Linked DNA regions of Canis lupus familiaris. The protein of the gene in region 2 purifies or fractionates together with the protein of the main gene of each other region. This does not show direct contact. Links are inferred from orthologs where the notes say so. Each region holds a gene or a part of one and is shown on either strand. Other genes may lie near its edges. The genes, in order: SAP30 and ING2.

Evidence for each region.
Region 1: the proteins of ING2 (region 2) and SAP30 purify together in Homo sapiens (affinity purification with mass spectrometry; 3 studies listed by BioGRID and IntAct, counting the BioPlex papers as one, with this or other methods). This does not show direct contact. The link is inferred for Canis lupus familiaris from reciprocal best matches to the Homo sapiens genes ING2 and SAP30.

The regions. Positions count from the first base shown.
Region 1 is NC_049246.1:24,120,318-24,124,564, forward strand, and holds the start of SAP30 (histone deacetylase complex subunit SAP30), read left to right. Parts: upstream 1-1,209; 5' UTR 1,210-1,523; coding exon 1,524-1,838; intron 1,839-3,493; coding exon 3,494-3,619; intron 3,620-4,041; coding exon 4,042-4,140; intron 4,141-4,247. UniProt on the Homo sapiens protein: Involved in the functional recruitment of the Sin3-histone deacetylase complex (HDAC) to a specific subset of N-CoR corepressor complexes. Capable of transcription repression by N-CoR.
Region 2 is NC_049237.1:47,782,772-47,787,273, reverse strand, and holds the start of ING2 (inhibitor of growth protein 2), read left to right. Parts: upstream 1-1,519; 5' UTR 1,520-1,631; coding exon 1,632-1,803; intron 1,804-4,502. UniProt on the Homo sapiens protein: Seems to be involved in p53/TP53 activation and p53/TP53-dependent apoptotic pathways, probably by enhancing acetylation of p53/TP53. Component of a mSin3A-like corepressor complex, which is probably involved in deacetylation of nucleosomal histones.

The DNA.
Region 1 (4,247 bases), on a different chromosome or scaffold from region 2:
CAGATGACATTTAGGTTTTTTTAAAAAATCATCTATCACTAAATTCACTCAGCAAGCCTGAAAGAACTTGCAAAAGAACCTGGTTCGTATTTTTATTTAAGCCAAAGGACGGCTAAACAGGACACATCCGATACAGTCACAGTGACGCGCAGCAACCGGCAAAGGCGCACGCGCTCCTATCAGCCGCTCCATTCCCCGGCCCCGCCCCCTACAAGCACGCGCCCACGGGCACGCACGCGCACTCACGCACTCTACACGCACAGGCGCGGGCGGATACACACACACACACACGCACGCACGCACTCTACACGCACAGGCGCGGGCGGATACCCCAGGAAATGCGGGTTCTTTCTGGCCTTTCACTCCGCAGAGAGAACGCCGGGAAGTTTCCGAGGAGCACTCACGCTAACTATATCGGGGCTCCACGTCCCCCTGGACAGGGTCCTGGATCCCACTTTTCTCTAGGGCCTTTAGAAGAGAAACGGTGAAGGTTGGGTGGGGGTGGAGGCGGAAAGAAGCCGCTCCACCGCAGGAAGCGGCCAACTTTGATCGCCCCAAAATGAAACCCGATCTTCGCAGGAACGTGCAAGGATTTAAAAACGGCCTTCAGCTGAGGCACTTGGGAAGCGGCCCTGTCACGGTCGAGGTCGGAAGGGCGTTTTTGCCTCAGCTGGTGTGTCAATGAATGGAACTGTGACCCGGGACCTGCGGCATCTCCCGGACCCGAAGAGCGCCAGCTTCCCCGAGTTCTCCTTGGTTTGGGTGTCCCACAAAAGCATGGCCACACCAAAAATTCTTTTTCCACAGTAAGAAAACGGCCCCGAAACTTTTTCACGCCGCACCTTCCCTCCTAGCTTCCCGCCCAGAACATTTTGCGCCTCGCCTCAGGAGCGGGGTGGCCGCTTTGTCTAGTAGAACGCCAACACTGCAGAATCCCGGTAGCGAAAGACGGAGCAACTTCCTGGGAGAGACTAGAAGCGAGAAAACATCACCACCCCTAACCACACGCCCCTGTTTTCCCACTGACTTAAAATAAATAAATAAATAAATTAGCAGCCGAAGCCCTGCCCGTCGCCGCGCGATGCATGCTAGCATAAGTAGTTCCAAGGCGCCCAGTTCGGGGTGGAACTCAGAGTGATTCCCCCTCAAAGAACTACAATTCCCATGGTGCCCTGCCACACAGTGGAAGGGGCGGGGCAGGAGAGGGCTCGTCGCGCGTGCGCAGGTCGGGGGGCCGGAGGGAGGCGGAGGCGCCAGGGTCCAACTGCTGAAGCGTCTCCATGTGACAGTGACCGGAGTCCTAACTCCTGGCGCCGCCCGGTTCTGGCTTCTGACCCCAAACGCTGTCCCCCATCCCGGCGCCAGCGGACAACAGCAGACCGGGACGCCTGGTGTGTGGCGGTGCCGCTGGAGGAATCGCCCCGGCGGGGTCAGGTGTCTGAGGGACCCCGCGGAGACCCCGGAGTCTCCGCAGAGAGGGGGAGCGGCGAGCCGAGCGGGGGTTTCTGTCGGCACGCGGAGACATGAATGGCTTCACGCCTGAGGAGATGAGCCGCGGCGGGGACGCGGCCGCCGCAGTGGCCGCCGTGGTCGCCGCCGCCGCCGCGGCCGCCTCGGCCGGGAACGGGGCAGGGGCCGGCGCCGGGGCTGAGGTGCCGGGTGCCGGGGCGGTGTCGGCTGCTGGGCCCCCGGGGGCGGCCGGGCCGGGCCCCGGACAGCTGTGCTGCCTGCGGGAGGACGGAGAGCGGTGCGGCCGGGCGGCGGGCAACGCCAGCTTCAGCAAGAGGATCCAGAAGAGCATCTCCCAGAAGAAGGTGAAAATCGAGCTGGAGAAGAGCGTGAGTGACGGCGGGACGGCCATGCCCTGCCCTGCTCTGGGGCTCCCGGAGCGGTGCCGACCGGGGTTCAGGGGCGGACGGTTCGGGGGTCCCCTAGACCTGGCTGTGGCGCGAGCCCGTCGCGTGGTCTCGGGTAGGACGCGAACCACAAAGTCGCCGCAACTCGGACCGCCTCCCCCGCAGACCCACGCCAGCCGGCCGCGGGTCCGCTGCTCCCCCCGCCCCCCCCCCGCCTCCTCTCCCTCGCGTGCCCACCCCCACCCTTCCTACCCAACCCCCGCGCACCCCCACCCCGTTCCGGGTGTCCGCCCTGCTCGCCGTCCAACCCCTTCCTCCTTCCCTGAGGTCGGGACACGAAACAAAGAGCACCGCGGCTCGGAGGGCCCGGAGTAGTTTTCTTGCAGCCTGTCCGCTCCTCCTTTGTTTTGCTGCCCAAGCTGGCGCGTGGCCCCGGGGAGCAACCCCCGGCTGTAGGCAAAAGTGTAGTCCTGCAAGCGAGGCCCTGGTGCCGCGGTGGAGACCGACTCCTCTGCTCGTCCGCCGGGTTGCGGAGGGAAGAGAGCCGAGCTCACCCCGCGCGGTGCAGACCGCCGGGCTGGTGGACGCCGCCAGCATCCAGCGCAGCTGCCGGGAATGTGGGGAGCCCGCTGCCTCTGCGGCGCTGCCACCCCTTCGGCAGCATCCGGATTTCCTTTACCGTCCTTGTTGTACACGTCCGTTTCTTGTGTTTCTTTGACCATCTGTGAGGTTTTCAGAAACAACCATTGGCACTTTGCGGAGTTTTGGCTGGCGGTGAATGGATAACAAGATGCCAGAACCTAGCATACGCCCTGCATAATTTTAACTTGGACTTCGTTTACAAGTTAAATTTCAAAGCCTTAGTCTTTAATCGCTTGTTGTTGTTGTTTTTTAAAGGAGTTTAAACTGTTAATAATGCAGCCCAGTATTTCAGATGTTACCATACAGCGCTCAAGACTACATTTAATTGAAGCTTTTGCAAAGTTTGTGATCTATTATGCCTGTTAAAGAGTTCTTCAGTCATGCTTGGGAGACACTTCTCAAGTAAACTTGAATAGTTTCACATTGCCTTTGGTTGAAAAAAACGTAATACAGACAAATACATTCATTAAATACTCAGAAGCTTGTAATTCAGATGTAAATATAAGTAGTATATGAAATCGGTAGCTCGTTTGTAAAAATGGATAGTTTTGTATCTGGATTATAATTTGAGTACTGAGAAAGGATATGAAGCTACTAAAATGTGCTCTTTAGAGAAAATACTGTCAGTAGCAGAATTGTGGGCAACATCATCTTTCCACTTATTAAAAAAACAGCGTGACCTAACAAATCTAATTCACCCTCACTACAGTTTAATTAAAAAATCCAGACAATTGCAATTTCTCATTCTGCTTGTCTGCTTCCCTTCCTTCCTTCCTTTCACTCCTCCCCACCCCACTCTCCAATCCTCTTAACCCTATTGTCAGACACGGTATGTTCTAACTGAATACAGGACTTAAGCATAGAAATATGCTGTTGTCTTAACAATGGCCTATTTTGACTTTTTATTTTTAATAATTCACTGTGCCCTATGTATTTTACTAATACGTAGACACGTTACATAATAATAAGTAGTCTGTGAAACTTTTTTGTTTTAGGCAAGGCATCTTTACATTTGTGATTATCATAAAAACTTAATTCAGAGTGTTCGAAACAGAAGAAAGAGAAAAGGGAGTGATGATGATGGAGGAGATTCACCTGTTCAAGATATCGATACGCCAGAGGTAAAGTTTCTGTATGTTAAATGTAAATCCTAAGTATTCCATTCTGAAACTTCTATTAAAAGATAGGAACAAATTTTAAAAATACTTAATGCGAAAAATCTGAAAATGAAAGCAAAATTAAATATAGCCAATTAATAGGCAGTTGTAGTTTGACTTATGTTTTCAATTCACAATGCTTATACCTCTATTGCCTTCTTTTTTTGCTCCCAGTTCTCAGTATTTACCTTCAAAAGATTGAAGTGCTCTATATATTTGTAGTTTTGATTATGTAAAAGAAGTAATGGAATGGAATTAATTAAATAATGTAATTTTTGTTACTTAATTACATTTTTGTTGTACCAAAATTGAAATGCTATTATGCATATCAAAGATAACAATTTAAAAATTGCATGAACTAATTCTTACATGTTTATTTTTTCTAGGTTGATTTATACCAATTACAAGTAAATACACTTCGGAGATACAAAAGACACTTCAAACTATCAACCAGACCAGGACTTAATAAAGCACAACTTGTTGAGGTATTTATGAAGTTTTAAATGAGCCTGTTTATATAAAAAAGTTATTAAAGGCTAATGAAATTGTTAATGTAGTACGTATAACAATACAGCTCAGTTAGAAAGATCAG
Region 2 (4,502 bases):
GCTTCGTCTCCCCGAGTCCCACGTTATCCCGTCCTGAGAGTCCCTGTGGCACAACCTCGGCCCCTCCGCTTGGCCGCCGCGTCCAACACTGCGCGGAACCTGAGCCCTGAAAGTCGACCGCACGGAGGAGGACCAGGGCTTCTCTGCTCGCCTCCCCGCTTCCCGCCCCCGAGCCCCTGCGGTTCTCGGCCTCGGGGCAAGGACTGATGGAGGCGGGGGGCGGGGCCACGTGAGGCTCCCCGGTTCCGACACCCCGAGGAGGGGGAAATCCTTTTCTAAAGGTTGTGTGTTGGACAAGACAGGTTTCTGGGGGGTGGGGGGTGGGGGAGCGGGAGGGGGCAGATGCGGGCGACACGGCGGAGTCCCGGGGGGCCGGGCCGCGGACGCATCCTGCAGAGGAGCCGCGGCAGACCCCCCCCACCCCCGCCCCGGCCCCGGCCCGGGGGCAGGGCGGCAGCGCGCTGAAGCCAGGAGGGAGATTTAAACGGCGAGGACAGGAAGAAGCGGCTGGGGCCCGCCGGGAGCGCCGCCTACCTCGCCCTCTGCCCCCGCCGCGGCGTCCCTGAGCGCGAAGGCCGCCGCCGTCGCGGGAGGGGAGGAGGAGGAGGAGGAGGAGGACGCCCGGCCCGCGGGCCGCGTCGAGGCGGCGGCCTGGCGGGAACACGGCCGCCGAGCATGCCGGGAGCCGCGCCCGCTGCACGCTGGGTAGCGTAGTTCCCGCCGGCCTTCCTGCAGCTCGTAGCGAGAAGCGGCCGGACGCCCGCTGCTCTTTTAAAGCCCCGCGACTTGCCGCGCCGCGCCAGGGCGCTCCCCCCCACCCCCAGAAGGAAAATGTCGGTAACAGCGGGCCGAGGGACTCGCACCGAGAGTCCCCTTCCCCGTGGGAACGACGGAAGAAGGAGCCAGCCGCCTTCCCTCCCCGGTCCCATTCAGACACGGAGCGAAGAGGCGGGCTTGACAGCGCTGCCCCTTTAAGAGGGGGCGGGGCGCAGCCTGCCGTTTGGCCGTCCTCCGCACCCTCCCCCCGCGGCCGAGAGCCGACAGACCAATCGCCCGGGCGGCGGAGGGAAGGCGGGAGAATGCGAACCCTCCGGTAGGGCGGTAGGGGCGGGCCCCCGGCCTTATTAGGAGCGAGTCCTGCGCAGGCGCAGACGCGGCCGCAGGCGGAGGGGCGGGGGCAGCCCAGTGAGAGACTCTCCGACAGGCACGGAGGGCGACTGCGAGGAGAGGGGGGCGGCGAGGGGCTTGTCATGGGGACCCGGGCCACGGGACGGCATTGCTAGCGCCGGGGCCTCCGCGGGGGGCGGCGGTGTCCACGCCCGGGACCGCGGCGCCAGCTCCGCCGGGGGATCCCCGCTGCTCTAGTCCTGGGGAGGGAGGGGAAAGAGGAGGGAGCCCCGCTCTCGCCCCGCCCCTGGGCTTGTTCCCGCGGGGGCGGGGAGTGAGGCTGCTTTTGGGGGGAGTGGAGATCGGGGGACTCGGCTGTGCCCTCCCGAGCGGCTGCCGGCGTCCCCGCGGCGCCGGGCTGCCGAGCCGAGGAGCCGCGGCGGCCGTGGCTGGTGCATGTGTGGCTGCTGGATGCGGAGGCGGCGGCGGCGGCGGCGGCGAGGAGCAGCAGCGGCGGCGGCAGGATGTTAGGGCAGCAGCAGCAGCAACTCTACTCGTCGGCCGCGCTCCTGACCGGGGAGCGGAGCCGGCTGCTCACCTGCTACGTGCAGGACTACCTCGAGTGCGTGGAGTCGCTGCCCCACGACATGCAGAGGAACGTGTCTGTGCTCCGAGAGCTGGACAACAAATATCAAGGTAGGGGGCCGCGCGGCTGCGAGTGCGGGTCCTCCCGCCGGCCTGCGGGCGCCGTCGCTCCGAGCCTGCCCTGCCCGGGGAAGTGCCACTTTCCATTTCTCCAGTGACAGGCCCCCCCCCCCCCCCGAGCGCACGGAGGGGCTCGGCGGAGGGGGACGGAGGAGCGGGTCTGGAGGCTGGGCTCGCGGCCCCCCCTCCCCCCGCCGCGGTCGGCGAGGACTTCTGTGGGGTATCGCGGGTGGGGGTGGGGGCCGCTCGTCAGCCCCCGCTGCAGACCCAGCGGCTGCAGCTGGTGTGCGGAGGAATCAGCCATTTTAAGCAGCATTTGTTCCGGCGCTTGCCTGCCCCGTGCCGCAGACCCTCCGGCCCCGGCGAGGGAGCGTGCAGCGGGCGGGGGGTGGAGGGAGTGAGCGGCCGGCCGCAGCCGGGCTCCCGCTGGTCTCCGGGGCCTGGCTTTCCCCACCCCCGCCCCTCCGGCCCCCACCCCGGGAGCAGATGCATTGGAACGTGCGGGGGGGGGCGGGGGAGCAGCAAGAGAGGGCCGCGAAGGCGGACTCGGGGAGGTCCCTCCCTCGGCGCTCCGGCTCCGGGCTCGGGCACCGAGTACGTTCCCTTCTCTCGCCCCGGGGAAAGTTCCGGGCCGCGGCCCTTCCCCGGCGCCTACAGCCAAATGGTTAAAAGGGGAGGGGTCCCGGCGGGGGAAGGCAGAGGGGTGTGTGTGTGGCGGGGAGGGCCTCCCGGCCCTGGGGGCGGGGCCTGGGGCGTGACGTAGGGCGTGGGCGGGGCGCGGGCGGGCGCGCTGCCGCCCGCCTCGAAAATGGCAGGTCGCGGGAAGGCTTGGGCGGAGCTGGCCGGCGGGGCGCTGTCGGAACCTTGCGGACCTTAGCTCCTAACCGGCAGGGTCAGTGCTGAGGTTTGGGACGTGTTTGTCGTGGTTTTTCGACCCTTTCTGAACCAACTCAGGACGAAGAAACGCTCAGCTACCGGGATCATCGCGGACCCTGGTCCCGCGTAGGTTCCGGGGCTTGCGTCACTTCCGGGCCCCAGGCGGAAGTGGGTGGTTGACTGGGCAACCGCCTGGCGTCCCTCAACCCGCGGGTCCCTCCTTCGGCAAGTTTGAGTGATGAGGCAAAAACGACCCTGCGTGGTCAGACCCGGGAACCCAAGGCAGGGAGTCAGGCTTTCCGACAGAGCGCACCATTTGTCATCCAGTATTGGTGGACCTTTCGTCTGCCACTAGGAGGGGAGAAATTTATATGGGGAACTGTTTTGCGTTTAATGACCCTGATGGGGGACTAGACCTTGGACGTGATGTGGAGACAGCCGTACGGACTTGAATAAGATGACTTGGGACCCCGTCCTCTGTTTTCTAGACCGGTCACTAATGTTACGATTTAGTTTCAAAGGAACCCACTTCTGGGGTGACGTTTGCTGGCCTGCAGCGTGTTAGAATATTTAGGTGTCTCTGTGCTTCCGAATCTATACTTTATTTCTGCCTTCTTAACCCACACGATAGGCTTGCTGATAGGACCGGTCTCCGTGAGGGGGAAGAGAATGAAAGAGTGGTTACTTACCGTGGATCATCGCTGTGCCAGGTCCAGAACATTATCTCACAGTAATCCTATGAAGTAAACATTTTACAGACAAGTTAAAATTCACGAGGAATTGAAGTGACTTGTTCACTTAAGTAGGTGGGGAAGTAGGATGCCTACTTCTCGCGCACATCCTTGTTTTTGTACCATTATTAATTTTCTATTAAAACCTACTTGATAAAAGCCCCCCCCCCCCCCCAGGTATTTTCTGCAGACATGGAGCACAGACGTGAATTGTAGCCTAAGAAGATACATGTGTGCTTGAGAATCGTCGATTGAACATTTTTTGTTTTTCACATAGTAACTCCGTGAAGTTTGTAAAGACTGCATATTTTTACATTTCCTTAAGGACACCTATTTACAAGAGTTCAGCCATTTTCATTTGAATTGGGAGGGAAAATTGGTTACAGGGAAATCTGCCATCCTGACCATCTAGAATTGTCCTGAGTGGCTTTGGTAACATGAGAAACACTATTAAGCTCTAAAAGATCGAGAGATTATAAATGTTTTTGGCTCCATTAAGATTGGTGACTTTCAAGATTAATATAAAAACAAGGATCTAGTTTTCAGTCTGTGCCCATGCTTACGAAGCTCCACTTGCACAGTTTTATGTTGATTAGCTTTATGTGCTTGTGTGCTCCGGGATCCAACTTCATATGGTTTTTATTTCTTTGCTAGTTCTTATGTATTTTTTGTTTTTGCGTTTGATACTTACCGCAATATTTAGTGATATAAAATATAGGAAGTCAAAAAAGTTTCTCTCCTACCTATTTGAGACAGTTTCAGAAATTACTGAAGAATCTTTAAAAGTAACCTTAAAAACTTAGAAATAGGGAAATGAAGACAACAGTTTCACAATTGAAAAAAAGTATTTGTTATGGGATATGGTTATTAGAGAACTTCAATATTTGTTCCGGTATTCTTGTTTGTAATTTCTTGGGTAAATAACCATTGAACTAAAAATTAATACTTAATTTCAAGTGCCTTCCGTGGAGCTTAGTAGAAAGTGCTTAAACAGCAGAGCCAGGTGTACATACCTGGCAGAGTTCAAAGTCTAGGGTTGTTACCTCTTGACCTTCATTTTCTTCACATACAGAAATTATACAT